Linked DNA regions of Styela clava. The main gene of each other region encodes a partner of the protein of the gene in region 2 in a complex. Links are inferred from orthologs where the notes say so. Each region holds a gene or a part of one and is shown on either strand. Other genes may lie near its edges. The genes, in order: cleavage and polyadenylation specificity factor subunit 6-like and transportin-3-like.

What was found.
Region 1: the proteins of transportin-3-like (region 2) and cleavage and polyadenylation specificity factor subunit 6-like are in contact, whole or in part, in a crystal structure (PDB 6GX9), measured with the Homo sapiens proteins. The link is inferred for Styela clava from reciprocal best matches to the Homo sapiens genes TNPO3 and CPSF6. Residues at the interface, in NP_036602.1 of Homo sapiens: Arg620, Asn656, Arg657, Glu660, Arg661, Arg664, Arg667, Phe668, Arg671, Ser698, Cys699, Tyr702, Ile706, Asp709, Asp747, Asp750, Asp751, Arg754, Arg758, Gln761, Cys793, Arg797; in NP_008938.2 of Homo sapiens: Tyr521, Arg522, Glu523, Arg524, Ser525, Glu527, Arg528.

The regions. Positions count from the first base shown.
Region 1 is NC_135261.1:10,513,647-10,530,913, reverse strand, and holds cleavage and polyadenylation specificity factor subunit 6-like, read right to left. Parts: upstream 8,922-17,267; 5' UTR 8,868-8,921; coding exon 7,275-8,867; 3' UTR 1,733-7,274; downstream 1-1,732. Other genes in the region: uncharacterized protein LOC120329417, read left to right, coding at 10,124-10,199, 10,430-10,569, 10,770-11,808, 12,254-12,291; exocyst complex component 1-like, read right to left, coding at 1,028-1,158, 15,075-15,198; 60S ribosome subunit biogenesis protein NIP7 homolog, read left to right, coding at 15,582-15,637. UniProt on the Homo sapiens protein: Component of the cleavage factor Im (CFIm) complex that functions as an activator of the pre-mRNA 3'-end cleavage and polyadenylation processing required for the maturation of pre-mRNA into functional mRNAs.
Region 2 is NC_135255.1:3,145,320-3,161,948, forward strand, and holds the start of transportin-3-like, read left to right. Parts: upstream 1-7,828; 5' UTR 7,829-7,996; coding exon 7,997-8,122; intron 8,123-8,429; coding exon 8,430-8,519; intron 8,520-9,208; coding exon 9,209-9,319; intron 9,320-9,713; coding exon 9,714-9,787; intron 9,788-9,861; coding exon 9,862-9,925; intron 9,926-10,184; coding exon 10,185-10,290; intron 10,291-10,519; coding exon 10,520-10,647; intron 10,648-11,023; coding exon 11,024-11,199; intron 11,200-12,049; coding exon 12,050-12,188; intron 12,189-12,733; coding exon 12,734-12,880; intron 12,881-13,262; coding exon 13,263-13,492; intron 13,493-13,731; coding exon 13,732-13,871; intron 13,872-14,563; coding exon 14,564-14,703; intron 14,704-15,753; coding exon 15,754-15,805; intron 15,806-16,629. UniProt on the Homo sapiens protein: Importin, which transports target proteins into the nucleus. Specifically mediates the nuclear import of splicing factor serine/arginine (SR) proteins, such as RBM4, SFRS1 and SFRS2, by recognizing phosphorylated SR domains.

The DNA.
Region 1 (17,267 bases), on a different chromosome or scaffold from region 2:
TGTCTTCTCTATCACACAAGAGGTGCACTAGCTACCCAGGGGGAATACAACAAAACATCTTCTTCAATTGAGAGATGAACTACTTGGGTTTTTATCGATGAAGGATCAAGATTTTCAAAATGGAGGACGAGGGATTTATCATAAGACTGGTTTACTTGTCAGACATTTTTGTAACCATTTAAATCTGTAATTTCAAGGACCAAACTGCACTAAAAAGAACGTAGAGAGCAAGCAATACAGAATGTTTAAACTCTTGACAACCCCTCACAAAGCGTCCAATGATGAAGTTTCCCATGAAATGGGAAAGTGCAGTGCAGTTGCAAACATTGCAGATGGCCAAATCTGGAAAATACCAAGACACCTCAACCTTCACTGCTTCCAAGGGTTGGTGTACAAAGTTTTTGAGGAGAAATGGGATTTCACTAAAACCAAAAACTAAGAGCTGCCATCAGAATTTCAGGAAAAGGTGATGAACTTTCAACATTACGTGATAAATAAACGAAAGAATGATAATTTCCCTTTCAATAGAATAGGCAATATAGACGAAACCCTAATGTGTTTTGGGAAGCTAAGCAATAAAACATTAAACCCAGAAGGTGAAAAATAGTCTTTATCAACAGGGCTTAAAAAAAACATTTTACAGTAGTGCTCAATTGCACTGCAGATGGTGTGAAGTTGCCACCAATGGTATCTTCAAAAGAAAAGACAGAGAAAAGAAAGAGATGTTGATTTAGCCACTGGCGTCCGGCGTGTTACGATTCGTAGGGTCGGCTTATATGCGAATTTTTATAAATTCGTTGTTTTAAGGCCGTTTTCGTGGTTGTGTTATATGCGAGGTCAGCTTTCATGTGGGGATATGTGGTAACTTGAAAAGAATTATACGTAATAGCCTTCTAGCAATTTTTCTGATCATTAACAACAACAACTCATAGGTCTATTTTGTGATCAATAATATATACTTTTCAAATTTCTTTGTACATCTCCGCAGTCCGCACTAAGCAGGAATATTTAAAATAATGTCACCTACCTTTTTTGAATCCTTGCCATCGACCATTTTCAGTTCTCTTAGGTGCCATTTTTTCTGTCTCTTATACAAGTCTCCCTTGTCCTGTTTCTTGATTTTGGTAATGTAGACCTCAACAGGGTGCTCTGTCGTTACTGAAAAAGGTGGGAAGACATAATTTTAAAATTTGAGTGCTATATATTGTATAATTTAAAAGTTACAGATCAAATATGACACAACTCCAAATGCATCCATTCATACAAAGTTACAGATATACCACAAAACAATCTCTCTTCTATTTATCACACACTCATTTTTCATACCATCAATAAGTTTGGCTACACCAGGCCACAGAAACAATTTGCTGCTCAAATAAGTTTAAACTAACTTGTATTGACTGGCTTGTGATGCTGTTTGCAGACAGCTCTGCTATATAAGTAAATAAATTCTGTAGGCACATAATTATAAAGTAAAATATAAAAGTACAAAATGGGGGCACAGTGGTTCAATTTAAACTCAATTTAGTCAACTTAGTTTAAAAATTACATAAAATAAACACACAGAGAAGAAGGACGCACAACCACTTTCTGAAAAGCACTTCAAAACAGTATTGTAAAGAAAAGAGCACACACTAATTATGCACTCTATCCTTTTTTTGCCTAGATGTCACCAAAAAATCGGCAACAAAAAAATCATAAAATTGTAATAAGTGGGTAATTCTTTATTTAATAAGTATCCTTGTAACCCAAGCCATAGTTGGTGAAAAGATACTAATATGCAAAACAACTCTGGTAAAATACAATAGCTAAACAGTAAAATTCAGAACTTAAAGACCACATTTATATTTAACATCTGCCCAATCGTTTTAAGTTATCTATATATTGGTGGGAAGCAGAACAAAGGGTTAAAGACAATATAAAAAGTGAAACAATCTCACACAACAACAGTACAGGTACGAAATAAAGTATTCCAGCAATTATGCCACGCAAGCAAGAAGTAAGTAAGATTTATTCAGCTTGAACAAGAAATTTCCGATCCAAAAGGGAAAAAAAATTACTAATTGAAATTATCAGTTCAGCTCTCCAAGATAACTATTTTATAAAGGAATTCTGACTGAGTAACTGTAACTAATGTATATAAAACAGATAAATTTGTATATTTGCTTTCAAATGATGATATCCTTTTAAAAACTAAATTTCGGGGAGAACATTATATGAAACAAAGCCAAGAAAAATGAGCCTTTCAAAACAATAAAACTACCGTATATAGAACATCTCAATCTATTATCCACAGATATTAGTCAATGTATTATTACTTTATATTTTTATACCGGTACATATATTCACATGTATCAGCCAAATGGTTCTCAACCTTTCAGAATCTTTGATATGAGGAAGTGATGGAACATAGAAACATGAAATAAGAGGATAAACAGGATCTTATAGGAATTAATAAGAGATGCATTTCTAAATTTCATTAAATGTCTTGACAATGTTACACAAATTTAATGTTTCCGAAGTCTTTTGCATCAAAATGATGACACATACTTTTTTATAGGTATGTCAGCTCAATGGACATGAATATATTTAGTTAACGACACATGAATAGGGCAATACTGTTAAGGTTGAGAACCACCGCATTAGCATCTACTATAATTTTTATGCCAAAAAAGCTGCAATTACTAATATTAACAATGATGACATGGATACAGTTTTGACATGAATAGGGCAATACTGTTAAGGTTGAGAACCACCGCATTAGCATCTACTATAATTTTTATGCCAAAAAAGCTGCAATTACTAATATTAACAATGATGTACCAATATTACAAAACAGCTCATGCAAAAAATTATATTATCTAGTCATTTTACTGAAAATTTTCAGTAGTAAAATGGTTAAGCTATTTGTATCGAAGTTGTTTTACTGGAATTCCCTTTATGGTCCCATGTACCGGTACATCCAAATCCTTCGTTATAACCAGGGCTGGAAGCTGGAGTTGTAACATTATATTGAGGGGTGGAGACAAGCTTACTATACTGGATAGAGCTTCAGCTACCAAAAATTTTAGTGGCTCCAGATAATTAACAATCTATTTTTTCCTATGCATGAATTTTTTATTACTTGACACAAATAATGCAATTTAACTTTTTCAGCTTATCATTTTTTGTTTAATTTTAATTTCTAATATTAATTTGAAATAGTAAATTTGTGTATTCAGGATTTAATTTTAAAATTCAAAACCCTTGTATCATAATAGTTTTGAGTTCCGATTCTGCGCAACTGCGATAATGTCGCATACCATCGTTATACCAAAAAACTCATTATGACTACGAAGCTGAAGCAATAAGTTGCGAAGGTAGAGTCACGATGGAGCTGGAACCTAGCTCCCAGTCCTGGCTATAACACGCTCACTACGGGTGAACTGGACTAAAAATTTAATTCTGAAAATTTCAACTTCAAAGTTCTCAGGAAGAGAAAGAATGAAAGCAATATCTACAGGTAGACAATATATTACCAAGTTGGTTTAATAAAAATATATTAATTAGAGCTCGACTGATATATCGGCCAACCGATATATCGGGCCAATATTGCGTGTTTGCCGATATATCATATCGGACGTAAACCGCCGATATATATCGGCCATGCTCGGCAAGCGCCGGGCTGCGTGCTGCAACGGCCCTGCGTAACTGGTTTGCCAATATTTCTCTCGCTCTCATTTTGCGTTATAAAGGTGTCTCTCCTAATTCCCAGTGTCTTATGATTAGCCATTTCATGCATGGTCATAACTGAAAAGTTATTATCTGGAGTAACAATGACTTTTATAAAGTGACATATTTGAGAGAGTACACAATGAGAAAAAGGGAAATTTAGTAACAGTATTAAACGGTGGTTCTATAAATAGAATCGATTGGAAGCTGGTGAGTTAGTGATCATGGAAACATGGTACAGGTAGCTCAAAGCAATAATGTCAGTTCCGAATTTGTGACCTCCCCAAATCAATTTTGAATTTCTGGGGTAACAGTTTTGTCTATATTGATGGTTGTTTATCATTTTGCTGAAAATTACAAAATAAAAACTTCATCCATTATTATTGACTAAATAAGGTATTGAGAGTCTCTGGAAACAAAGTTATTAAAAATTTCACATGTAACTGCACATAGGCTATCACAATATCGAAAGATCATTATCACGATTCACTTTAAAATATATCACGCTATAATTTTTTATCACCCTTGACATATATCCATAGTTATATGTAAAAACGTCTGATTAACAATTCATTTTCCTGGAAATAGCTAGTCTGATATTGAAGTAGCAAGAAAAGTTACAGAAAAAACATTTGTTCGAGCATTAACTAAAGTTAGTTAAATAAAAGTGTTACTGCCATGATAACAAATATCAAAATGAAACTACAAACTCACAAGGTGCATCATAAGAGCGTGGCTCAAAATATGATTTTTAATAATATCGGCATTGTGATATCGGTTATCAGCCACCAGTTGGCGATATCGGCTTCAAAATTCGATATCGGTCGAGCTATAATATTAATTAACAATAATAACATAAAATCATAAATCAGCTGGAACTATGGCCACTTTTAGATGGAATAGAGCACATGCATGAAAGTTAATTTGCTGGAACAATTCCTATTTTACAGATACATAGAAACTAGTGAAAACTGTATTATATGTTAGTGCTATATTGCAATATATCTGCTTCAGAATTTTGATACGAACTGCACGAATATTTGCTGACATAAAATGGTGTCCGAAAAACCCACCCGGAAACAAGTATATATCACATTACGTAAATAATAAAATTTAAAAGACTCCTAATTTCGATTGAATTTCGTTTGGATTAAATTTTTGTCTTGGGCTAACATTGGAAATCATTTTCAAAAAATGAATTAACGATTCACACTAATAGACACACAAAACCAAAGACCGAAATACTTTGATTTTGACTGCAAAAAATCTATAATTCTCAAGATTTCATCCGAGTAAAATATGGAAAATATCATGATCAAGCTTCTACTCTGAATAATTACCATACAAAAAAAAGTGCCTACAAATTGTTAAATAGGCCTACTTTCTAAAAGAAGTTTCATGCTGGCAGTGATATAAATGTGATGGAAATTAAAAGTATAAAACCTATCCCGTCAGCCACTCTGCAATAATAACTCGCAACTAGACATACAAATACATATTTTCCAGCAAATAAGATGACACGGCGTATGTGCTGAAGCCAATTTATAACATATTAGTATTACCACCCAATAAGCAGAGGCTTATAAATGTGTTACCGCCTCACTGGTACTTTTATCCACTGTTTGTGAGTTTCCAGTATTTTCTGGCCCGAAGTTTATAATAAGCCGGTTCGAGAGAAAAAAAACAGTCAAGGCCATCAGTGCAACAAGTCAATCCAAGAAAATCAGACAAAAAAATTGGGTCCAAAAAATCAGCTTATTAGCAGGAAAATATGATATATGTTAGGAATTCAGTATCACCAGATTTGAGTATTATTAGTTCATGAAACGACGTCTCAAATGTGAGCAATCAAAATTGCCACAAACCATATATATACCCAGTATGTGATGTCTATAGATCTGGGGTTTAAATCTAGGTCAACAGGGTCAACAGTGTCTCAAAACCAAGGACGCAACTCATGGTGCACAAAAATAAGTAAGCTAGCACCAAACAAAATCCTTTTTAGTGGTGAATCAAAAATACATGATCTAAATGAACGTTACTACCATAAGAGCACTACTATACTCTTGCCTATACAAATACAGAAAACCGCATTTGAAAAGAGAATTCTGAAAATGAAATTATTATTAAAGAAAAGGCAGCCAATTAATCTGCCAACATTCATAAATAATAGACAAGTTCTCTTACTGGTAATCAGATATTTTGAAGATATAAATAATTCATACAAAGAAAAAATACAATTTTTCTATTTACACTCATCACTACACCATCACCTTCTCGACCAATGAATTAGCCTACCTGAACGAAATAAAGTGAACTAATTTGAATTTTGAAATTACAGCTGCTATTTTACAATATTCAAAAGTAATTGAGGGTCGATTTCAGGAGTAAATGATACAAGCACCATTACACTTTTGAAAGTCTTCCTTGACCACCAACCCAAATAATGGTGTTGAGGATTTTGGAAATGACTTTAGAAATGTTATTTATAAAGTATAGTATCTTAAAACGGTAATTTAACCAATAAATGACATCATCAGAATTCCTAATATTGATTATTGTGCAAGAATTTTCCCACTAAAAAAATGTGCATCATTGACACCTTTAAAACATTTCAATTCATTCAAACTGTATTATCCTGTTAACTGTATGAAGAAGAGGTCAAGCAGCGTTCGGAAATTGAAAAAAAAAAGGTTGAGAAATTTTGCACCACATCATATTAAATTATTAAAAATTCCGATAATGGCAATTATTCAGAAAGGAAAAAAATATATTTGGGTTCCACATTTCGAGCCAAGTGTCAAAGAGTGGACACTGGCCGAAAATGACATACCCAGAACAGTACAGAATAGACACAAAAATATTGCATAAATAAAAACAGAGGCAAAAGTTGCACTTAAATGATTGCATAAAAAATTACCAACCTTAAAAATCCACAGTGTTACAATTTTTGGCAGCATTCTTCAATGATTGATACCATCATGGAATCACGCCACATATATGCCATGCGAAAATAAATAAATGACATAATCGACAATTTTACACCATTTTTGAACAAAGCACTTTCACTTTTAACCATTGCATGATGAATTCCCGAAATTATATATACTATTAAAATTGATAAGACTCTGAATCCTTATATACACATTTCATGATTAGCCCCAACTTAAACTAACCCTTCTAATAACCCACAACTGTTGACATATCGCACTGAGAAAGACCCTATTTCAAAGACGTACCGACATAATGACATGAAAATATGCTAGATAAAATGAGACAGTAAAATGAATAACCCCCTTGCAATTGTATAATAGGATAAATAGAAACCAATCATAAAACCATTTTGAATTTTATTAAGATACATTCCAACAGTAATGAAGTATCAATTTATACACAATTAATCATTGAAAAATGTGGAATTGTATCAATGACTTGTAGACATAGTTCATCAGCATCCACTTTACATTCTCGAAACCGACCATTTCAGATTTGGTGCTAAAAGCAACAACTATTGTTTTCTGTACAATGCAATAAAGCATCCAGTTTTTGTAATGTAATTCATTTCAACGTCGGTGACGATCCGAGTGACGTGATGATGAATACCCTCCGCTGTCTCGTTCTCGACTTCTTTCTCTGTATTCTCGATCGTCATATCTCTCTCTGCTTCGGGATCTGTCTCTGTCACGATCTCTGTCTCTGTCTCGTCTCCTCGACTTCGACTCCCGATGTCTTGGTCTTTCTTCTCGATCTCTATCCCTCGATCGATCTCTTTTTCTTATCGATCCAGATCCAAATGATTTCTCTTCCACGCCATGTAGGCAATCTTGTAATGATCCAATCAATACTTTCGCTCTTTCATCTGTAGCAACTTTAGATTGTTTTATCAAAGATATGGCAGTGACTAAAGTTTCAATTGCACTTCCATAATCACCAGCGCTTGCATCGGAAACAGCTCGTGAAATTGCGCTACTTGAAACTGCTCTATTCCTATTCATTATTTCTTCCACTTCAGTATCTGATAATGGCGGCGATTGTGAGCGCTCCTGTCTGTATGTCTCTTGAGCTGGTGGCAATTCTGCAGCAGGAGGTGGAATCAAGGGGTTAATTTGTACCGGTGGGGGTGGGAACCCTGGGGGAGGCCCTAATGGGGGTGCACCAATATGTGGTGGCCTTACGGCAGGTGGTGGCTGATTTGGAGATATTGGTGGCATCATTGGTCGTGGAGGTGGAATTCTTGGATCAATTAGGATACCACCAGGGCCACGAATAAGTGTCGGTAAGCCTGGAGGCGGCGGTCCTGGCATACCTGGTGGCAGTGCCACTCTGGGTGGCATTAGAGTAGGTGGCAGTGTCATTCCAGGAGGGGGAATCGAAGAAGGTGGAGCAATGGCTACGCTAGTTGGTGGAATAAAAATAGCAGGTGGTCTGTTACCTGCAGCTGCTGGAGGAGGGAATGGAAGGACCAGACGATTGCGCGGAGGCATAAAAAGAGCTGATGTCGGTGCTGTTGAGGCAGGAGGTCCTAAACTTGCAACAGCCAGAGCTGGTGGTGCTTGATGAACAACATTGAAAGAGCTCACAGAAAGAGAAGGCCTTGGTGGCAGTTGGAGTGGCGGTGGTGATGCCGGCTTTTGTGGTGGCGGACCACCACTATTTCCAGATTGTGCTTTGGACTGTTGTTCAAATTGATTTAAACTTTGGCGATTACATGGTGTAACAACAGGAGTTTGGCCATGTAACTCTTTCCCTGGCAACTTATCCATAACTATTCTAGATGAAGACTCAGAAGCAAGATGCACAATTGCAAAACCCTTTGACTGGCCATTTGCCCTGTTTTCATGAAATTTTATTTCAATTAAATCATTGACACCCAAAGCACTGATTTCATCTTGCAGATCTTTGTCAGTAGTCCACCAAGTTAAATTTCCAACATAAATGGACACCTTTTTGCCCTGGTAATTAAACTTCATATCCCCCTGGGTCTTATCGCTTCCATGTTGAACGCTGTGCATGCCGTTAGAATGGATGGTCGCTCTGCTCGACGGTTGCAACATATCATCATACAAATCCACGTTGCCCTGGGTATACAGTCCGTCGTCCTGAGCAAATTCGTGGTCAACGTCTGCATAAAGATCTATATCAACACCGTCAGTCATATCGCTAAATAAATCGACCTTAATATACAATAAATTCAAGACATGAACAAAATGACACTGACAAAAGTAAAACTACAAAATCACAATCACAAACGCGCGCGCAACTAAGCCACACAAAAATACACGCTGAAAATGGCGATAGCGCTAGCGCGACGCACGCTAGACAGAGAGAAAAAAGGTTCCCACAATGCTGTTCGGCAGATAAACTGCGAGCCTTGATTGCCTGCTAATCGCGGGAAAAGGCGCCGTATTTCGTTTGATCTTTACCCATTTTAATTAAAAGAATAGCATAATTTGTCACCTCAGTATATCATGCTGTGAAAGCCAATGCCTAGCAGTGACAATCAAGCACATAGTTTTAAACTATTTAGTCGCCATTGTATGAAATATTTCATCCAATCGGGGGTCATTTTCAACATATCTCTCAGCTTAGAACGTAATATACTAACCGGTACTGTAGTTTAATCAAAACTAGGTTGTAAAATTGCATTTGAATATTGCAATATAAAAAAACAAGCAAGTTGCAATTTGTAGCGTAATTCTGCGAAATATCGCGTTAGCGGAGCGTCGTGAAACAGAAGCACTTCGGGCGGAACAAGCACGTGATTAATTAGTTCGACCCCGTTGTAAACACAGACGTCCTATGCTTTAACAGTATATGGGGGTTGTGTTTACTAAATGGAAGCGGAATATTGCGTCCTAACTGTCGAATAAATGACTACGGTGGAGTATTAAGGGTACCAGTGGTGCGATGGTTGTCAAATATACTGATAAGTACGTTGAAGCACTTCTAAAAGACCGAATTTCTGTCTTTGCTAACAACTTAGGAAGTTACTGATATATGTATGTGTCATGCAGCATCGGCTGATTGGTATGGGACTGAAAGAGTCCATACCCCAAATGGAACTCGTAATCGGGCGAAAGGCCGGTTCATAATATCCGCCTATGATTAATCAACTTTCCTCTCACAGGAATAAATATGAAAATCTCATTATTCACTTGTTACTGCTCAGCTTGTCAGGTTAGGATGGTTTTTGGGAAGATATTTAAGAGCTTACTAGTTCTATTAAAAAACATGTGGATATTAAAAGCCCATGACCATATTTTGAGTAGTCTATGTCATTAAATACAGTTGGGGTTAAATTGAGTATTTTGAAAATTAACAATGATAACATTTTTTTAAATCAACAATTTCATCAAATGACACAACGCTTTTACTTTAACAGCTTTCAAACTCTTAATCAAAACTCGTTAAAATGTCTGCAAACCTGTCAGAGATGATAGCTAAAGCATCAACACAATTTACCTCTGATATTGTGAAGGCAATAGAAGGTAGGTTCACATTTTCCAAATGATGGTTATTATGTGCTACCTACTTTGGTGGTTGGATTGATATTATAAAACAGAAAAAGTTTTTTATAAACGCAATAATGATATACAGGTACTTTCAATATCAAAATATTGATTTTTTGTCATACTAAAATTACCGTAATTTTCACCCAATAAGCCTGAAAATACGGTATTTCCCTAAGTTCCTACTTCAAACTACCTTTTTTTCTAAGATGCTGAATTCCAAATGGATGACATCGATCAACTAACTAGAGAAGATGTGAATGAGGAATTCAGAGGATTTCGCTTTGGAATCAGAAAAGAATTGTGGTTATTTTTTAAAGCATTCAAGAGAAGTCCTCCTAAATTACAGGTATGGCATCAGGGCTTCTAGAATGCTTATTTATCTTAATCTTCTTGTTCTACTTGGATTTAACAATTTTAGTTTATTGAGGAAATTGAATTCTGCTGTGAAACATAAATAAATTTTATATTATGATATTTTTCAATATAGATATGCATCATGAAAGGTGACAATACACTCACTCAAAAAAATAAATTTTTTTTTTGTAGGAAGCAAGAACAACGAAGACTATTCTTAATGAAAATATACAAGAAGAAAGAGATCCGTGCATCATTAAGAAAGTTACTTCAGTTTCATCTCCGAATATGTTTTCAAATTACTTTCGTAAAAATGCACAAACCCCCGAGGGTCTTGTTCCAATATCTTCCGATGATGAAGCCGAATCCTCGAATTCATCTATATTTGGGCCTTCCTCACCAATACATAATAAGATCGTACCTAAGTCCCCTAAAAGTCCTAATACATTTTTCATTCCCTATCCTGGAAATATAACATCACCTTTCCCACTAAGCCAAATTCTCAAAGAGTCTTTAGTGGGCATTAACAGTATTAAGCGAAATGATTCTGTGTTTAACAGCCTTGTGGCTGAAGTTCATAACACTTTGAAAAACAGTCTTGGACCAAATATATCAGAAGGTGATTTACGATATACAGCAGCCATGTTATGTGTTGAATACCCAGGCCTTCGCAGTGAAGGAGAGGATGGTTGGACAATGCTTTACTCAGCTTTAAAAGACTGGAATTCTCTCCATGTGACATCACAAAGTCCCATTGACCTGCATGATAATTCCAATCCTGATGATGAGGTATCGGATGGTCCTGAAACCTCTAGTACAATGACCTTCCAAAACCAGAAGAAAAGCTATCTTGCTTCTAAAAATGCATCTCCTTTGCCTTACCCTAATGGTATAACTTGGCCTTTTCCTTTAAACGTATCGCTACGGGAATATATGTCAAAGGGATATGACATCTTAAATAATACGAACAGAAAAGCATTCCAAGAATTAGTGAGAGATATTTCAACTATTCTCAAAAATGTTCTCGGACGAAATCCTGACCAATACGAAGTAAAGTGTACAGTTACTAACCTATGCTCTGAGTACCCGGTTCTTTGTCAAAATGGATTAAGATACTCCCCTACACTACATCGGGCGATAAGAAAGAAATTCAATAACATGGATTATAAAAAAAGAAGTCAGACACAGATTTATCCTCCACATGATGCCCATATAGTTAAAATTGAAGAAGGTACATATTCTTTTTTTTTATAAGTTTGTTACAACCAGTGCATGATTGTTCAATTTCTTTTGAAGCCTCTGGTTGAACTATCGTTGAAATTTGTTCCCCCGAATTATGCACCGCAATGTACTTGGATAATAATATTTGAGTGTGTCAGAGATTATTTCGTATCTGCCTGCCTTGAAAACTTTGACATGAAATTATCAAACCTATTAAAATCAATGCATAGAGTAGGTATGGATGGATATATCAAATGTTTTGCTAGACTCAGGTTGCTTATGTGCACAAAAAGATGAGTTCACACATAGTATTGATTACCATAGGTCGTAGATGTGAGACATCCTGCATAACATACCCAGCATTGCTAGTCTGGTATTATTCAGTCTACATCACTAAGAGATTATTCAGAATGGTATGCTATCTCATCCATAAAGTATTATATTATTATCTATAGGCCTTCCATCAAAACGACAATGTACTGAAGATGAGTAACAAGCATGAAGAGTGAGGAAATTGCCATGTTTCAATGCCAGGCAATCCAGCGAACCTCTTAGTCTTATACAATGAAGTTATCTGCAACTGGCAAGGATTTACTTTAAAGCACACGATGGGTTATGATTAGTATCAACCTGTTTTATACACAATCATAAATTCTGTTGTACAGTAGATCTAAGAGCGTTCATTTTAGCTTTTACAAAATTTTACTATGCTATGTCAATTTTTTATTGAGTCAACAGAAGTTTCCCTGAATTTGTGTGACCATTTTATACATACTTGCCTACCGTAAGTCAATTTTAAGTCTTGCCCCTATCTTTTTATCAATTATTTATTTTTCCTTTTACATTTCGTTTCAAATTCGTGCAAGTGTGTTGTGTAATCATGCTTTTAATTATTCTTTATTGAAATTATACAGGTATTAAAATATCAACACTTGAAGGCATTTGGTAGTGATGGACCGGTGGTTCCTAACAATTTTCGGTAAAAGAGTCATGTTATGCTGAATATCACAGAAAATCATAGTTCATTTGGTTTGGTCATTCCGCTTTTAGGTTCAGGTTACATTTCAATTAGCCTGAAGAAGTTAGACCAGTGGTAGGTAAACTTGATGTACTAGTGGGCCAAATATACATATCCCCAGAAGCGTGCGGGCCGTGTACAAATAATCACCACATCATACTATAAATTGCGACACACTCGTTATTCCTGTCTGTCACAATGGGGCAGTGTTCGAATAATGCTTAACAAAGAAATATTTATCGTCCAATGTCGCCAACTTTTACAAATTAAACTTATAATAACAACTATCTGTAGGCACAATCAGAAAGTAAACATCTCTACTTACTAAAAAACAATCACCGTACAGCAGCCAGTGTTAGGACATGAATCTGTGTGCAGACAATACTAAGTATATGAACAATTTGTTTTAAGCATTAATAGTGTTGAAAGCCACAAAAACATATAACGATTAGAATCACATTTAGCATAGGGAATAAGCAGTATCAGAGGTTGGGCGTCACACATTACATTTCAAACTGATAAATAATTTGTGGAAACAGGACACACAATTATTAGAAATCCCATATCTGAGTACAATTCTGGCAATCAAGTATTCTGAAATACTAAAATTTTCCTGAATATTGTAAAATGTAATAAAATTAGTTATTTCTTCAATCACCTCTCATAGAGGGTTCATTTATTTGATCCTCATTTACAAGCAATATATAAGATTTACATATTTATCCTGGGGGAGGAGAAAGCCAATAGGACAGCTTAATCCTATGCCGAATCAGGGCCTCGAGTGTGGGATTAGTTGGACAGTTATATGCATGGTCGAGGAAGCTGTGAACCAGGTGGCGCAGAGTCCACAATCCCGTCGCACATGATAATCCCACACGGAATTCGAAACTGCGAATCCAAGCAGGGTAATCGGATGTGCAGTAGCAAGCGTTTTCTCAATGCCTCGGCTCAGCATGAAGTGCCACACCGTCAGGCCATAAGAATTTTATATATACTGCTTCTAAAGGCACATGCATAACTTGTAAGCAATCGTTTCTTACAGAACAATGAGCAATATGGCCAATCCTACTCTACCTGGAATTATTTTTGGATGGCGGAGAAAGTAACAACAGACCAGTCAGAAATCTGCTCTTGCATAATTATCCCCATGAAGGCTCTGAGTGATGAGCAGTGGCATGGCAATCATGATTCAAGCACGATGAACCAACTGACAAATCAAATTACTAATCGAAAGGTTCAGACACATGGTCTTGAATAGTGAAAGGAATCATACTCAATTAGTACATATTATGATTGTGCAACACAGTATTCCAACCTCTGAACCTGCAGTTTGACTGTCGTGGCATTGTCAAGTGTGTCCTTGACAACCCATTCTGTCATTATTCCACTCTGAATATTAGCTAAAGAATGCATGGAAGTAAAAAACATTAGCTTGACTTATATTAACTTTTTACGTAAATTATATACATGTAATATCACAATGGTCCCCAAGCTTGAAGCCCGATCAAACTTGTCATGTTTGTTTCACTCTCAATTAATGCTGTAATGTTTTTTGACTAGTTCGTATCAGCAATACTCTGTTTACAATGATTACATTGCTCAATATTGCATGATTAACTTCAGTTGGATTGATAGAAAAATAGGATGGGATTTACATATTTATCCCAGGGGAGGAAAGGCGATAAGAAGGCTTAACCATATGGCGAACCACGGCCTCTCGTCTGGTTGCCATTTCATGTCAGGCATGGGAATAGTTGGTTATTTGTTTTCGGAAGCATGGACTTGATGGTGGAGGCAGCCGTAACCGACCAGGGGTTACATGAACCACCGTACGGTGGCGAGGAGTCCAGCAATCCTCTCGCACATAACTATCCCCGCATGGGATTTGAGCCTGCGAATCCATGCAGAGTAATCAGAGGTACCGGTGGTGAGTGTATTCCTTGCGGCCGTGCCAGTGGTTTAACTAAAATGTACAATCAAAAAGCTGGAAAACTAGTCTTCGTTAGCTTTTTCAGACTTTTAAGAATCAAAATAAACTTGTGACCATAAAAGGAGAGGCTTGCCTTGTGAATTAGAGTGCAGCGGGTATTCATAATTTCAGTAATTTAGCAATTTCAGTATTTGTAAATAAAATGACAAAAGGACAAAACTCTATAGCAAAAAGTGGTATTCAGGATCTAAACACACAAAAAACTTTCACGAAAACACCTTATATCATTTGGATACTATACCTTATACATATAGCATAGATTACTAACCTGAAGCACATAAAAAAGATGACTTCTTTTTCTTTCCCGTTTTAGCAACGTGAACAACGCCCAACAATCTTTCATCATTTGGGGTGAATAAATCCCTTTGCAAGGCGTGTTTTATCGCCGTCATATTCAAAATTATTTCTCATTAAACTGAACTAAACCAAATTGAACAATTATATATGGCTCCAGAAAATAATTCTCCACAAGCAGACAAACAGCCGATTTCGTTTCAAGACAAAAACTTTAGCTGACCGTCTGGGATAATAAATTACGGACCGAAGGCATCCCGACAATAAGCAAAAAAGCAACCCGCATAAATCAGCTCTTTACCAAAATATTATAAAAAGCGGACCACGTGATACGTGATTTAGTATTTTAGTAGATTCTAATGAAGCCAGCTATTTACTACAAACACGTTTCGCGAGTAGCGGCAGTGATATTTTCTGATTTTCGTGCACAGCTTCACGTCTTGCCCCGGTTTCAACGTCTCTGACAAATAATAAACTGACTATGCGTCCTTTAACAGAAGATGAGACAAAAACGTTGTTTGAAAAACTTGCAAAATAGTAAGTACATATAAAGATATTTATATATATGATGTTCTAATTCTTGGTATTGCTGAATTGTTAGGGTCGGAAGGTTTTGTGTAGCATGAGTGGACTATTAGACTAGGCTATACCGGTACCGGTACCGGTAGTTCACTAAAACAATAAAACGGGAACATGAAATATTTTTCTGTTTCTGTGGTAGGCCTATATTACTACTGTATTGAGTCAGTAGAACAGTCGATTTTGACGATTGGGTGGTGTGGCTCATCTTGCTAAGCGTTAGGAATACGCTCTCTCCACGGCCTCTCGTCCGGTTACCAGTCCAGGTCGGGTATGCGATTAGTTAGCTAGCCAGTTATTTGTTTTCGGAAGCATGGACTTGATGGTGGAGGAAGCCTGCGAACCCACGCGAGGTAATCGGAGATGCGGTGGCAATCCTCCACCATCCAGTCCATGCTTCCGAAAACAAATAGCTGGCTAACTAATCCCATACCCGACCTGGACTGGTAACCAGACGAGAGGCCGTGGTTCGCCATATGATTTAAAAGCTTTAATATTGGCTTTCCTTCCCTCCGGGATAAATATGTAAATCCTATCCTAATATCCTCGCCACCGCACCTCTGATTACTGGATAACTCTGCGTGGGTTCGAATCCCATGCAGGGATAGTTATGTGCGAGAGGATTGCTGGACTTCTCGCCTCCGTAGCGTGGTTCACGGCTTCCTCCACCATCAAGTACATGCTTCCGAAAACAAATAACTAACTAATCCCATACCCGACATGGAATGGTAACCGGACAAGAGGCCGTGGTTTGCCATATGGCTAAGCTGTCTTATTCCTCTCCCATGGGATAAATATGTAAAAATTATTCTATCCTAAATTTTTATGTTTTTTTATTAATAATTAAATAAAAGTCTGTCAGGCGCAGAATGAAATTTTCGCCATAGACGCATTTAGTTAAAATCAAACCTACCCAATTTCAACTAAGCAGGTATTTCCTATGGCAAAAAGGATATAGTGTTCCCTGTGAGACATATTTCTACTAGAAAAAATAAAAGTTTGGATGTTTTTTTCTCGTCACAATTTTGTTTGGCACTATAAGCAGTCACAGCGTTTAATTCACTGGGCCCGTAATTTCAGGGTTACCGTTTTTCAAAAGAGCAACATGATTTTTTCTTACTCAGTCATTGCGATATGTCATTCTGTTAGGTACAATACATGCACAAACAGAACTTCAAGCGTAAACAATGAAAAAAAGTTCGAAAAAGAAAATATACGGGTTCTGTTTTTTTTTCTGGGTGGGGGCGAGGTGTTGGTAGGGTCACCCTGTATGTTTGAAGCCCATTTTATGCAAGTTTACTCAAAGCAACAATATCAACCTTATTCCAAAAGTTATATGAATACAGAAGAAAGAATGGCAAACACCGGTACTCTCAGTTCTTGCTGTAACTCTCTTAAATACCATTATACATTTACTTAAGCTATCATGATAACTGTGACATCTTACATGTTTGCATTCTTTTTTATCATGGCCAACAGAATTTTATTGCTCTGAAACTTTTATGATACTTTATTTCTACTGCTTCTACTACAATTTTTTTTAAATAATTTCACATAAAACTTGAATACCACTTTCCAAATAACTTGC
Region 2 (16,629 bases):
ACATCACACAAAATTTGAGAATTATACGTAGAATTTCACTGCTGATATCTCTATCATCAACAAGTAAGTACTATGTTATTGGAACAACGCAATGTTTCCGAGTTATATGAACATAGGAATTTGTTATGTGGGAAGAATAGTATCACACCTCATAAGAAATTTTCTTAAAAGAACAATATTGTTTACGATTTGCAGGGTTTTATTTATTTGAGTAATAATAACACCACGCCATTGAGGAGGAATATCGTTCCATTAATTTGTTCGTATCGATGTGATAACGATAGTACCAACATCTAAGGCGACTTGATGAATGAAAACAGTGTATATATATATACGGCAACATTAACTGAAGACAATATGGTGTGACATAAGTTCTTGAAAACCTAGTCCGAGGGACATAGGCAAAACCTCGCTTACATTTTGTGGAACGACAATATGTTTTTGTTCATATACGTAACATTATTCAATTTAATATCGCCCTGACCAGAAAGCATACTTGGTCGTCTCAAGGCGTGGTTTTTCTTTCAACGATGAACGAATGACCGTCGTAACAACGATCCGATTCGATCCTCGAATGATTGGATTTTCTGATACGGTTCAATAATTTGTCCAAACATAATGAAGCAACCATTGTCAGTTGTAAACATCAATTTGATATTGCGCTTACCCGTAAAAATATTTTCCACTTGAGGATTTATCAACAAAACAAGCGCGGGCGAGTCTATGTACATGAAATATCATTGTGCACCATCCCTCATCTCATCATAGACTTTCTACTTATCTTGTAATTAGATTTGACGTTGAAACGTTTCTGAAAAACAGTGTCAAGAATAAGATTTCTGTTGTTAAGGGTGTGTACCCGGGAATATGTGCAATTAATTTACACGGCGATACCAACTTTTCTTCATCCTTAAGCGGTGTGCAGTTTTCGCCATATACAGCATAAATATGTTTCGATATACAACTCTATTTGCAATATTTTACCAGATATTCCATTGCCTGAAGGATGTGTTCGAAAGAAACCACTAGATGCTTTCACATTGTCGCCTGCTTCAATCTCAATGAAGACTTCTCAATCGTTTTTATTAAATCGACGAGGAAAAACTCGGAGAAAAGGTTCACGCAGCTGGGGTTTTGATGCATGAAGACGGAAGCGAACATGTGCCTAAATTTCAAAAAGAGCCAGCCGTGTGGTCAAACAATTAAAGCTCACCAGAATAACCTCCTTCCTGAGCTGAGAAAGCTGAACATAAACTTCATAAATATTCGTAAATCGATGAATTTAAATATGTTGTGACTGTGAGTGATTAGCGAAAAAGATTAATAAATGACCTTTTGAATCTATCTTCTATTTGATATGTGATGTGTTTGCTATGTGGTGATTAAAAAATATACTTTTCCATCGATGTCGTATTTATTTCACAAAAACATCGAAGTTAAGAGAAATATAATTTCATTCAATTAAGGAGCTTCACGGCTTAATTAATGTTGGATATAATCATACAATCTGCATATCCAATGTCGTTTCCCCGGTATATTAGTCGTTGGGCCAAAGTGAATATATAATACAAATAATACAAACGAGGCAACGCTCAGACATTAGACGCCATCTTGTGCCTATTGTTCTCGGCTATCTAACACGGCGCCTTATGAGAAGTCCACACACAATTATTGAAACATACCTATTATTGGACACGTAGTGGACATAACGATCGTTTCAATATTATGTTGTTGTTGTTGTTGTTGTTCTTGACACGTTTTTAAAAAGTCGCTTTTCTCTTCGAATACTGGACCAATTGCTTTGAAATTTTCAGTGGTTAAAGATAAAAATTTTCTCCAGAAGGCTATTACTTTTTTTTTTGCTATGACGTCATCAAAATTATGTGACTCTACGTGTCCATATATTTGAGCATAGCTCTTTTGTTTTCACTAATATTTTAGGTATACAATTTTGAAGGTCGCATTTTGGAGGAGAATCTTAGCCGAACTCGATGATATATTTTCATGTTTGCTAAATTCCAATTTTAGGTACATCAAATTGCCTTTGAAGACAAGAATACCGGTTTCGAGACCGAGTGGCTTCCGAAGTAAGTTGGCCATTCTACTCGTCATAATTAACCATTTGACAATGGCGTTCTTTATGATGTCAGAGATTAGAAGTTGTATTTATTCGTCGAAATTACCGGCCGGCTCAACTTCGTTTCAAGGGCCGTTTCTATTTTCGCATTAACATTTTTCGTCTGCCAAGCTCCATAATGCCCTACTGCTCAGCTCCAGACTGTGCTAGAGGAACAAATGCCATGGTAGGATTGTTGCGGAGACATGTTAGTTGTTACAGCGTCAAATTGGCGTATCACTATGAAATCTTCGAAAAAATGGTTCTACGTTGTGTTTGTGGTCAAATTTAACGCATTAGATAGTTTTTTTCATTTTCAATTGCGTTATATATTTAGATAGCATCTGGCTTAAAGGTCAAAATCCACCCTTTCGGCTTCATTCTAGCCCTTATAACAGCTGACTTATTCGATTCGGTCCAACAACAGGACGAAAATTTCCCATAAGACTCCATTGTTTCGCGTTTCCCGAATATGGCACAAGATGGCGTCCATGAACGTGTTTGTGTGTAACATTAGACAAGTTGGTTGCCTATTACTCTACTTAATTTCGAATATAAATTAATCGCAAAAGTTTTAGCTTTGAGAATGAAAGCAGTACTGCCTGATATAATAAATCATGACCAAACAGGATTTATTGAAGGAAGAACGATTCATGAAAATTTATTAACAATAAGAGATGACATTTTTTGGGCGAATAAACAAAACCAACCGTTAATAATTTTTAGTATAGACCAAGAAAAGGCTTACGATACTGTTGATAGAGTTTTGTTACTAAGAATATTAAAAAAAGTTAATTTTGGTAATTATTTCATTCGATGGGTCAATACCCTATTTAACAACACCAATGCAAAAATAATAACAAATGGATTTTTATCAAAGCAATTTAGTATAACACGAGGAGTTAGACAAGGTTGCCCCCTTGCCCCACTTTTATATATTATAATGTCCGAATTGTTAGCATCCAGCATCAGATACAATAGAGCAATAATAGGTTTTCAAAATTGTGCAGGAGATAGGGAGAAATATAAAGGTTTTGCGGATGACACTATTGTCACAGTAGAAAGTTTATCCTCCATAGATGAAGTATTAAAATTAATGGCAGAATTTGAAAAAGCTACAGGCTTGAGAATAAATATTCCAAAATGCAACATATTGTTGTGTGGGTCAGCAAAACGGCTAAACTTAGGACCTTCATACAAGGGTATTCAAATTCAAGAAGAGCTTAAAATTCTAGGAGCTTATATAGGAAACAATGTTGTATCAAGAGATAAAAACTGGTTGAAAATCATTAACTCAATTCAAAATGTAGTAAATTTATGGCAGGGACGGAAGTTATCAATGATAGGAAAAATTATTATTGTCAAATCATTAATGTTATCCAAAGTGTGGCACATAGCCAATTTTGAAATTATGCCAGGAAACTTCGTTCGAAAATTAGAATCTATAATATGGAAATTCATTTGGAATAATAAAACTCAACTAGTGTCAAGACAAATTACATCTAATATTTTCACATCCGGAGGTTTGAATATGTTAGACCTCAGGAGCCAAATAAAAGCTCTTCAGGTCAAATGGATTTTTAAAATCCTCAAAAACGAGAGTAGGCCATGGAGTAAAAGAGCCAATTATTTTATTAATAATTATTGTAATATTTTGTCCAAAGATAATTTGGAATGTCTGTATTTGAAAGTCCAATTTGACAAAGTAACTACCATACCTAATTTTTATACCGCCATTATCAATTCATTCAAGGATATTAAGTTGGAGAGAAATCATCCCTTTAATATTACAGAGGTTAAAAATGAAATTTTATGGTACAATCCCTTAATCTCAGAGCAAAATTTTAGATTTTCGTCCAAATGGATCCAAGCAAAAGTCATTTCTGTGGCTGATATTGTGGATAACACTGTGCATTATTTAACAAATAGAATATATTCTATTGATCAAATTGGGAATCACAGAAGAAAGCTCTTTTATTTAAATAGATGCTCTAGTGAAATCCAACAGGTTTGGGGCAATCTACCTATTAGCTGGAAAGAAATTCTATCGAGAGATCATAATTTACCCGAAAACAGACTTGGAATCAATAGATATATGAACTCCAATTTATCCACCAAAAAAATAAGTAGTTTATTGAAAATAAGGAAAATCACAGAAATTGCTACACGGCATGATATGTACATTACACAAAAATTAAATTTGAATATTCCTATAGACTGGTCAAATATTTGGCAATATAAACTCTCAAATAAATATAAAATTCTAAGTTGGAAAATTTTACATAATGGTTTACCTACGGGGGACAAATTAAAATATTGGTTTGATGATGAGAATGGACAATGTGTATTTTGTAATGAAAATGAAGAAACCTGTATACATTTATTTTGCTATTGTGATTGGATAATTGACTTTTGGCAGTGGTGCAATGTAAGGGAAATCAATTGTGACATAATTATTGCTAATAATATTCATAGTGAAGTGGTATCATTAATCATTCAATGTGGAAAATCAGCCATATGGGAGTTCAGGAATAGTGTCAAATATGATGATGTATTCCAAATGCAATGTAACTTGCGAGCTATTTTTAAATGCAAACTCCTGGGTGTAATCAGATTAATGTCAGATTTTGATAGGCAAAGAATATTATCTGACGAAATCGTTGATGATGTACTACAAAAATCGATAATGAGTTGAAGAAATTGAGATTGTCTTGATTTAGGAGGTTTGACTATATAAATGATTGCATAACATAGACAGATTAAATGAAAATCTAGTAGCATGATAGGTTTTTGAATTTTCTGTCTAATTTTTTGAAACCTTCTCTTCTTTTCCATGCTAATATAAAATAATTAATTATATATGTACATAAAAATGCTATATTTATGATGAAATATGGACAATCTTCAATACAAACGGATATATGACGAAAAATGGATCATCATCACTGGGTTTGATATGTATTAATAATTGTTTATCCAACTGTTTTAATTTTCCTCAATTACCGTAATTGGAACGCAATACATGCAATTGGTTTCAAAAAAAAAAAAAAAATAAATAAAATTATATAAAACAAAAACTGAAAATTTAATTGGCTTCAAAAACATAATTAAATAATTCCATATTGACTCTGGAATTGAATTTGGCAAAAAAAAAAAAAAAAAAAAAAAAAAAATGACTTGATGGTGAAAAACTTTGGGTAAATCGGAAGATTTTCCGGTATTGGATATTGGATAATATTTGTCTCATGATTCTCTAACAGTCTTATGGCAGAATGGTTTTACATACTGCTGCACTACGTTATCGGTACGGTACTGGATTTACATACGGACACGGTACCTATTTCAGAACTACCGGTACCGGTACCGTACTGTATTTATCCAGGAAAGACGAAAGCCGACTTGCTTCAGCATTACCGTATAAGGAGGCGCACAGGCTTGATCACCACATTGAAAAGCACTGTTGTGTTACACATACACGTCTCGCATTTTAATTTAAAAGGTAGACTAGAAGTTTATTGCATTCAATTATTTACTTCAATTTTCTGTTTTTGTCAAATTGCTTTCAAAGTACCAGTCCGGTACTGCCCGATTGTAAATCACGTTTTTCTGTGTTTGTTTTTTTTGGTGGGCGGGCACGTACATTCAGACATTGTACGCTTTTAATTTTTTTAAGTTATGCCCGTCTCCCAGGTGTCTTTGCATTTTGTTTTATCTGTTTACTTTTTGTATTGTTCATGTCAGAGAACCAAAATAAATGATTGATTGATTGATTGACATAGACTATGCTCTTGGCACTTCGAAAAAAAAAAGAAAATGGGATTTATTGCCAATAAAAAAGACAGAAAATAAAAATATCAGTCACAGTGATTAGCCTAAGTCAGCGTTTCCCAACCTTTTTTGGTCGCGGACTAATTTCTTACTGGCGAAAACCTTTGCGGACTCAAGGTGCGTTTATTGCAACCGTAGCTACTCTGTGTGAATAGCCAATAAAGTTATGGTGTTCTCCGTTTTATTTTTAGTATTTTGTTTGCCGATTTTCAATTTAGAGAATTTGGGTTGCCACCATTGACACCTACTAAAAAAAAAAATATTCTTTGTTGTTCGAACTCGCGAGAAACACCACGCGTGTCAGCGTGTGGCCGTGTTTTCGTCGAAAATTTGTTAGTGAGTTGTGAAATCCAATCGCTTTGACCAGTCGCGTCACTTGGTGACCAAATTTTCGAATAGTGAATTGCTATTGTAATAGTTGAATACTCGAATATATGCCCAGCCATACTCAGTAACTAGTAATAATTGACTTGATCAATGTTATGTGAATAAACTTGCTTTCTATGTTTTATGTGAATTTTAACGTAAATCGTAACTTGGCTGATAATTAACTTTCGCAAAAACGTTTGTGGCCTGCAGTGAATTGCTGGCTCGTTGCGGACTCATTCAAACGCCTCGCGGACTCATTTGAGACCACGGACTCGGGTTGGGAAACACTGGCCCAAGTGAATATCTAATGATTGCACTTGAGTCTAATAGTTGTATTTGAAAATAATAAATTGGGATCTAGTATAGTTTAGTACCACGTGTACTTCCAGTTGGGCTGGCTCAACAATTTTTGCATATGTCAATTCTAACTCTCACCTGAGACCTGACTATGTCATCCAAAAGTTACCGGTTACGTCACTACGACGTCACAATCACACATAGAGCTTGTCAAAGTAGAGCTACATTCTCCCGAAACGGTATTTGCGTGCCAATAACGAACTCGCTAACTCCTGCGATCCCTCTCATATCGATATCGTTGCGACGAGAAAACGAGGGAAATAGGTTGCTCGATTTCGAGTGATCGACTGCGCGTTTTGGACGACCATCCGTACACTTTGGAGAGCTTTATTTTGCTACTCACTGGGACTTCGTAGTGACGACATTTTTTGGTGACGTATTCAGGTGGGGGTTAGGATTGACATACGCAAAAATTTTTGAGCCAGCCCAACTGGAAGTACGTGTGGTACTAAACTATACCAGACCCATAAATTGTTACTGGTAGGTAGGTACTTAGAAAAATAAAGAAAATTGGAATTATGACCAATGAAAAAGACAGGTAGCTGACCAATAGCATCTGAATATATTTAAAAATTGTGAAACACTGGAACAAAAATACTCAAAATTGAACTTTGTAAAAAATAAGACAGAAATAAGTCCTTACCTAAATTAATACTGTAATACTCCAATAAAAGTGAGTTCAATATAAGGTACCGCATTGCACAATTTATCCTATTTAATTTCAGTACAGCAGTATTTGTAAGTTGTAACAAATTATTGTGTCAATTATGAATTGGAAGGAGAGAGTACTCATTATTCACAAGTATAAATTTCACTATATCTTGCTCGCGCAGGTCGGCTGTGTCTGCACATGGTTTTGCTTTGAGCAAGTTACATAAAATCGGATAAATGCATTGGTAGTTTGTTTTCTCTAAATCCATATTTTTACTTTAATGGGTGTCATTTTGCATGTTGCTTTCTGCTCATTAGAATTACATGATGTTTGGAGCAAAAACAAAAATTTGACAAAAGTAAACTAACTTAGTCAAGTAATGTTTTCAAATTGATCCAAGATGATTTTTTAATTTGTTTTAAGTATATTGATAAGAGATGGTAACCTGATAGCTGATAGCGTTATTTTTCGATTGTTTCATATGAAATTAACATGAATGATAATACTATTTGCAGCTTTTATTATTATATTATGACCAGCACTGTATTCTGGCTATAAGTTTACCGATTTATAGTATTTCAAGGGGTCAGACTTTGCATTAGTTCTATAGTCCAAGCTCTGAAAACCTGAGGACGATTTGTTTACGATCATCAGCACCAGTCTGGCATTTTACTATGGCTGATAATGCATTGTCACAAAATGCCAGGTCTGTTCTCAATGCAGTAAATACTTTGTATCAAAATCCCAATGTTCAAGAAAAAGAAAAAGCTTCATTTTGGCTTGGAGAGTTTCAGAGATCGGTATGTTATTTACTAGTAAAAATTTTCAGTTATAATATTACTATGCAACTTTATTTTTGGGGTTCTCATGTTGTTAATTTCGATATTCCATTTATTACAATTTTATGCTATGGGAAAGGAGACTCCTGGATGACACAGTGAAGAGAATAGCATTGTGTTTCATTTGGCCATTACTGTCAAATTCATTTGTGACTGGATTTCTTGGTAGGCATTTTTTTATGATGCCACCACGACTAAACCAATTTGCTGTCAACGGACCATTTTGCCTAACTACCTGACAAGTGATGATATATCAAAACCATTTTAGGTGTTTGCATGGGAGACAGCAGATCAATTATTACATCTAAAGCAAGATGTTGAATCAACATATTTTGCAGCACAAACAATGAGAACAAAGGTATGTATTTTGCATATATATTACTGAATAAATTTCAGAATGTTGAATTGTACTGATTTGAGTTTAAGTTGAATCAATTGTGCTAAAATATGCTGTTTCTGATTGAAAAATGGGATAATACGATGAAATTAGTTAAAGCTTGTACCTTATTTCATAGTCTGCTCCGTTCTCATATATTAATTAATGGTCGGCCATGGAAAAGTTTTTATCATGCTCACATGGACTTGATTAGTAGATGAACCGACTAAGAGTTTTTCATCAGCTATCTCCATCCCAATGCCAAGCTTCCACATATAGATTTTGAGAAGTGGTTCTATTTGCTTTATATGCATGAGATGATAGCAAAATAAACATATTTTTGGCATGAAAAAATTACACATCATGGTTAAGTGTATAAACCAGCAACGATATATTGCTCAATATCTGGCGTATATGCTTCAGTATGTTTAGTTGTTCATCACTGCATAATAAACCTTTAGGATTTCCCTTCGATTCAATGCAAACATTCACTGATCTCTAGTTTCATTATGTGCCTTGTTTTTTTACAACCATTTTGGGTGACAATTTTGCGAATGTAGTTTTTGTTTTGAAGGCTTGTTAAAGATATCAGAGAGTAATTTGTGGATCGTCTTTTAACAGAGGCAACTTGTACGAAACTTTATTAACTAAAAAATTATCAACCATTTCAGATTTTATATTCTTTTCGTGAACTACCTCCTGATTCACATGAAGGATTGAAGCAATCATTATTAACACATATAGAACAATTATGTGGATATTCTCCAGCTTTGACGACACAGGTTGAAGTTTTATCCGCTATACAGATTTTAAAATATATCCTTAACGCTTTAACCAGCTATACGTTTTTAAAAATTTCAGTTTTTTAGTCAGTTTTTCAATGACCGAACTTGAACTTGTAAAAGATTTAAGCACAATTATGTGGACGATAAACATGCTACAGGTGAAATACTGTCACATAAACACAGATTTGTTGATTATGAGCTTTCCGATTAGTTTCAAGTTTTTTCAAAAAAATCATAATATGAAGAAAATTGAGTGAAGCTTAAAATATAACAATGAAAGTGATAGTAATAATTGTGTTATGGATGATATGCCCATCTTAATCTGATGTAAATTTAAAAGAAATTGGTTCAGTTTATAAGTATCATATTCATTTATTTTTTTTATTTTCAGCTTGCATTAGCTGTTTGTGATTTAGCACTGCAGATGCCACAGTGGAAAGTGCCAGCGTTAACATTTATTGAGAAGTAAGAAAATCTTTTTTGTATTTTTGTATTGTGTAGTGAAACTTTATGTTGATTCTGACAATAAACTTTTATAGATACAGCAAAGATATTCAAGCGTTGCCATATTTACTTGAGATTCTCACTGTTTTACCAGAAGAGGTAAGTCTTGTTAAATTTTACTGACTTATATTAAAATGCAAATAAAAAATAAAAATCCAATAAAGTTAATTTAATTTGTGTGTCTTTATAATTTGTATAAAACATTTTATTGCATTCCAAATTTGTATTTCGGACATGTCATGACATGACCTTATTCACAAGTTTCTAAATGCGGCCTATGTTAGTTAGTTAGTCCTAGACTACTAGTATATTTGACTATGGCAAAGAATTTGTTGTAATATTCGCATATTTTGAGCAGGTAAACAGTCGCCATTTACGTCTTGGTGCAAATAGACGAACAGATATTATAGAAGATATGGAGAATTCGGCGCCAATGGTTCTCGAAGTCATCCAAGCGTGTTTGAGTAAGTGCCACACCTAAATTTGATTCAGTTTTATATCATTTCAAGCTTTAAATAATGAGGAAATTATTTTTATTTACTTTGAATTTTTCAGTTAAGGCATTGGCTAATGCATTGGTTTTGGAAGGGTCACCATGATTTAACCAGTTTTGTTTTTGTTTTTGCCATACAATTGATTCATGTGCTATGCCTTGTTAAGAGAAAAAGCATGCTTAAAGATATGTCTTTTCAGCGAGAGTGCAAGATGAACGCATCCTTTCAAAAATATTCAAATGTCTGGGAAGTTGGTTTTATCTTGGTGTGTTCCCTGGCAATCATGCTGCAAGGTCCAATATATTGGATGCACCATTCCAGATTTTGGTAAGTACTAAATTTAAATTGTATTTGATGGCTCTTTGATTTTGAATATTTTATAGCCTATAGGTAATGTTCAGGGGAAGCATGCATTGTAATATTTCATCTAGATATTAATAATTATTTCCAAGCCATGACCTAAGTACTCTAATATGATCTTTTACATGGAATATTAAATATATATTCTAAATTTGGTCATGTTTAATAACAATGAACACATAGAAGTCAATGTATATTTAATATGTTTAAAGTTAGGAATGCTTGAAAGTCTGGGTGGAAAATAGTTTTATTTATTATATATTCAATTGAACAGATAGATAATTTTCGAATGAATTCTAATGGCCAGTAATTAATTAATTAGAATATCTTAATTTTTATTCAGGGAACTTTATCGTCATCTTCATCACTTCATGAGGCGGCAACAGACTGTGTTTGCTCTGCATTGTACGCTGCAGAGGATGTTAGCAGAAATCAAGATTTAGTTCAGCAATTATTTACAAAAACTCTTGGACTTAAGCAAGCATACATTGATGCGAATGCTAATGAAGATATAGATAAGTAAGCCTTACTTGTTTTGTTTATTTGATCATAATAGAAATTGTGGCCGACTTGCAAGTTGCAATTACCAAATTGTAACTATTTCATCAACTTTTACAACACAACTAATATGGCCTGCCAACCAGTTCAAGCTCACCTGAACTATTACCTTATATACATCTGTTTTCAATTTGCTAGTGTAGCATAAAATAAAAATGTATGATTTAATTTATCCGGAAGTGTTATAAACTTTTTCTCTGAATACTGGTTTGGCGTAAAATTAACATTTGTTTGGGGTACCAATACCATCATGATAGGCGGTTGGCACATTGTGCTTAGCTGTAGGAACATGCTTTCCAGTAATTACCACCACACCTGCACAAGGTTAATTATGTGTGATAGGATTGTTGGACTTGTTGTCATCGTAGGGTGTGTTGATGTAACCCCTACTTGAGCGGAAGCAGTTGTTTTATCATATGATTGAGTTGTTTTACCAACTTTCCTCTCTTGGATAAAAATGAAATCTTATCTTAAATCAGTAGCGGAATATAATTCATCCATACCGATGTCATACTTTTATTTTTCCTTGTCTGACAAAATCCATATCCTTATTTTAATAAGTTCTAACAACTCCACTGTCTACAGCCAAATTCTTCATGCATGGTTAATATTGCTTGAACATTCTTGTATTTGTAATATCTGAATTAATTTTGCTTTCTCTATATAATAAAAACTCTAGCATTTTAACTTTAAGATAAATTTTTCATTTATGCTCATTGCCTGTCAAGTATTCTCTTTCCATTGCTACTTTCACTATGATTCTTTTCAATTATATTTGTATGTTATTATCTCCATATTTCATTTTTTTTAGATGTTTAAATTTGTGTCGAATATTTACTGAACTTGCCGAATCATTATTAGAAATTTTGGTCAACAGTCCTGGAGAAGGATTGGGAGATTTGGAAATCCTTGATATTCTATTGATGTGTGTCGGACATTGCCAATATGAGGTTTGTAGATCATAAAATATAACTTGCTATGTATATGCGACGAAATAACCTTCTATGGAGGTCATATAGAAGTTAGGACCATATTATATCAATCCCTTGTCGAAAAATAAAGAAAATTACGATTTACAACTAACCATACGGGTTTTGTATGTGATCTATGCTGGGTGAGTGGTGGTTAGAGTATTGTACCTGGACTATGTTGCCACTGCAGGTTGAATTACCCTGTTTCAAACCCCATGCCCAACACGTCACCCACCACGGCGCTTCAAAATGTGTGTACTAATATGGAGGTAACTAATTTTGTCTGCTTTCTTTACACCAAGTTGTGTAAAGGGACATAATCCATGGACAGGGGGTACATTCACTTGGCTAATACAGACAGTCGCCAAACTCGTAAGTCGTAATAGTATTTAAAATAAGGAAAATCGGAATAAAATTATGGCCTAACCCTAACCTGGTACACGCACTACGGGAGCTTCGTAGAGCTCGAATTCAACTGTATGTTATATTACTAGCATTGCCTTTATTCATTTTGTTTTGTTCAGGTCGCAGACATCACGTTCAACTACTGGTATAGATTATCTGAAGCTTTGTATGCATTAGATCATAAAGTTGTTCGTGAAATATATAGTTCATATGCCGAAGGATTAATTTTTGCACTTGTTAGACATTGTCAAATGGAACCAGATCATGTAAGTGAATGTAAAATTTGAGATTCTGGCATTCTGCCAAACTAGAATTTCTCCGAATATTAAAAGAAACTCTTTGAAGATCCCAAGATCGCCAATCTCGTTAGAAATCACCATGATACATGATTTCTTTTTCATGTATAATCAGTGTTGTGTGCTGTGTCAACTTTTCAGGGGTTTGATATTTCAATGTATTCAAGTGTTTCATTGTATTTGAAATTTTCTAAATTAAACAAATCTGCACAGACATGTTTTATATTGAATTATAAAGTTGGTACAAATTGAAATTTCTATTTTATTTGTATACTTCTATTATTTAATATTTGAAAACATCCAGATATATAACTATCAATAATATTTATTAGGTTCATGAACTTACATTTAGGACACAATTCTGGATTCAGCAGATGATTTTGCAGATTTCAGAAATAATTCAGCTGATTTAGTAAAGGATGTTGTATATTTGGTTGGACCAACTGAATGTTTTATCGGATTATTCAAAATGTTAAGCGGAGAAATACAAACACCCGATGGTACGAAACAAGGTGTTGTAACGTGGGATATCACAGAATCTGTTCTGTTTATGATGACGGCAATAGCGAAGAATGTAAAAGCGTAAGTCGAATAATACTGTTATGGTTTTCTTGGACTAATAATTTTTGATTTTATGCAGTCTAAAATGACACTGGAAACACTTGATTGCTTTTTTTGTGTTCTGTGGCTAGTTCATATGAAATGTTCAAAAAAATAGGAAGGTAGACAAGAATACTTGACATAGTTTATTGAAACTAGATAAGTTTATTTATCATTAAACTTTTGTGAAAGCATAGAATAGTTATTCCTTTTATTTTCAGCACTGAGGTCACTGTCACACCACAAGTATTACAAGCAATATTTTCTCTTCCACCATCCACACATATTGCAGTTCGGCATACAAGTATTCAATTAGTTGGTGAACTTTCAACTTGGATCGAAAAACATCCTGATTTACTGAGTATGATGTTTAATGTTATTTTCTATTATGAATGACTGTACTATCCAGATTGAATCAGAGGCTTATTTTGGTGACTCTAGTTAAATAATTTAAGATTAGAATTGAGTGAGGAACAAAAATCAGTTTCAAACAACAGAAACTACTATAATGCAATTATGTGCTGTTATTAACTTTTTATAGGGTATCACACATAGACTTCTTAAAAAACTTTTTATGAGCATCCAACGACTGCGTAAGGCAGACATGGGCAAACTACAGCCCGTGGGCCAAAACCGGCTTGATGGGTAATTCTGGCCCGCCTAATGCTACCACAACCAAGCAATAACTAAATTTTAACGTCTTAGTTAAAAATAACTCAAGGAATTTGTAGAAATTGCGATTTAATCTACCGTAGTTTCGGCACAAGGCTTATTGTTTTTCACCTTTGTAACACTGTAAATATTGTTCATAAAATGTAACTCTTACGTCACACTTTCATGGCCCACCAGTCTAGATGGGCAAAATTCCTGGCCCCTGCTCCAAAAACCTTGCCCACCCCCGGCGTAGGGGCCTATGGACCACAATATTTCCTGTGGATCAGAGATCTCTAACCTAGATGGTGGCATATTCAAGTTCAGTACTATATTCACTATTGCTAAGCCATTGATTTGATTTCTCTTTTTAATCTCATGACCTACAACACCATTTTATAGATCATACATTACAATACTTGACAAATGCATTACAAACCAAAGAACTTTCATCTGTTGCTGCAACATCTGTTCAATATTTATGTGAAGTTTGTCAATCGCAAATGATTCAACATTATACTGCATTGATCCAGTTAGTTCAGGTATGCGCTTCGTAATTCATCAATTATTAAAGGTTAATAATCATAATGCGGTAGAGTGTTGTAGATAGCTAGATAGAATTGAATTTTTCATGCAAGTAGATGTTATAGAGATCACTATCCGAAAATATTTAAGAATCTATAAATGTGAAAAAAATTAAAATGCTTGCGAAATGACATAAATTTTCATTTCTATGCAATATACAGTTACAATCGGTTATAATTGAATTCTATAACAAAATTTTTGAATACCAAACAATTGTATTGCATATCCAAGGTATCTAGCAATTGTCAAACAATCATTATTATTTCGAATGCCTAGTTATGGTAATTGCCAATACATTAGTTCATTTTTATTGTATTTTTTGTATATATCATCACCGTAGAGATTTCAAGTTTTATATATATAGCTTAGTTTCTCGATTAACATATGCCTACCTTTAATTTATTGATGAGCCCTGGCCTAAACAGTTTGAATCGTTTAATCACGAAGCCGAACAGCTGAAGCTTTCTCTTTTTGCTAGCTCAAAGACTTGTTCGCAGTGTTAGTATGATCTCTATTGAAAATGACATAATGATTCTATGGGATTCTGAATTAAGAATATCAGACTATCCATCACCTAATGAGATGTTTCACTCCAAGCAAGGCTTTAAATCTATTTTATTTATAAACATCATAAAATATATATTAATTGTATACAGAAATATGCAAAGCATTGAAATATATGTTATATAAATATAACACACAGATTAGAAGAAAAATATGGAACATGAATACCAATATAATATGTTGAAACAAAACATTGGGTCGAATTTAACTCTTGCTATTTTAATATTCTACTGTAATAATCTATAAATAAGTTGTAATATACCCGGCAATAGAATTCTACCGATTACACTCGGTATTTTTAAAGGGCTGATGACCCACATTAACAATTTTTCTAAAATTAAAAGCACACCCTTTGTAAAAATTGGATGCATTAAATCATGTTGCAGGTCATGGCAATGTTTTAAATCTTTTTTGTTTTTCTTTGTTGTGTGCATGTTCTCTAGGTTGCAGATGATTTGCAAGTGTCATCAGACGCTACATTAGGATTACTAAAAGGTAGAATCTCATCAAATAATTTGCTAATGAATAGAGCTGTTGTAGTTTTGTTAGTTTTAATGTTGCTGTGAATTCTCAAGTAGTCTATATGCCGCAATTCATAACTTAAGTTATTAGGGAATTCATATGCTGAATATATCATAAAATTAATTTTTGCTGCTAAATTGAATCCGTAGGATAGGATAAGATTACCGGTAAATATTTATCCTGGGGGAGAGGAAAGAGGATAGTCAAGATAGCCTAGTCATATGGCCTGCCACGGCCTCTCGTCCGTTTACCAGTCCATGTTGGGTATGGGGTTAGTTAGCCAGTTATTTGTTTCATATGCATGGATTTTATGTTGAGGGCTGAAACCGACCAGCGTTGATGCAAACCACCCCACGGCGGCGAGGAATCCAGTAATTTTCTAGCACATAACTATGCCCCTTGTAATTCGAACCTGCGAACCCACTGAGACTGAGAGGTGTTGTTGCGAGCGTATTTCTAACACATATTTCCAACATTATCTTGATAATATTTAACCTGTCATAACGATATGGTTCTAACAGATTTGAAAATGCTGTTATTTTGAAAACATAAAAAAATTATTATACTTTCGATGCAGCAATGTCCAAAATAAATCTAATTTCGAATAGCGTATTTTAATATTAAATGATGTTGAATATTTTCATTTTAAAAATATAATTCTGTGCTATTGAAGTCTGACGTTCTGACTAAAATCAGATTTATTCAACTGCTGATGAATGTATAAAAACAATCCAAACAACTTTTTTCTTACTTTTCACAAAAATATATCTCTACAAATATGCAATGTATCGTGTATG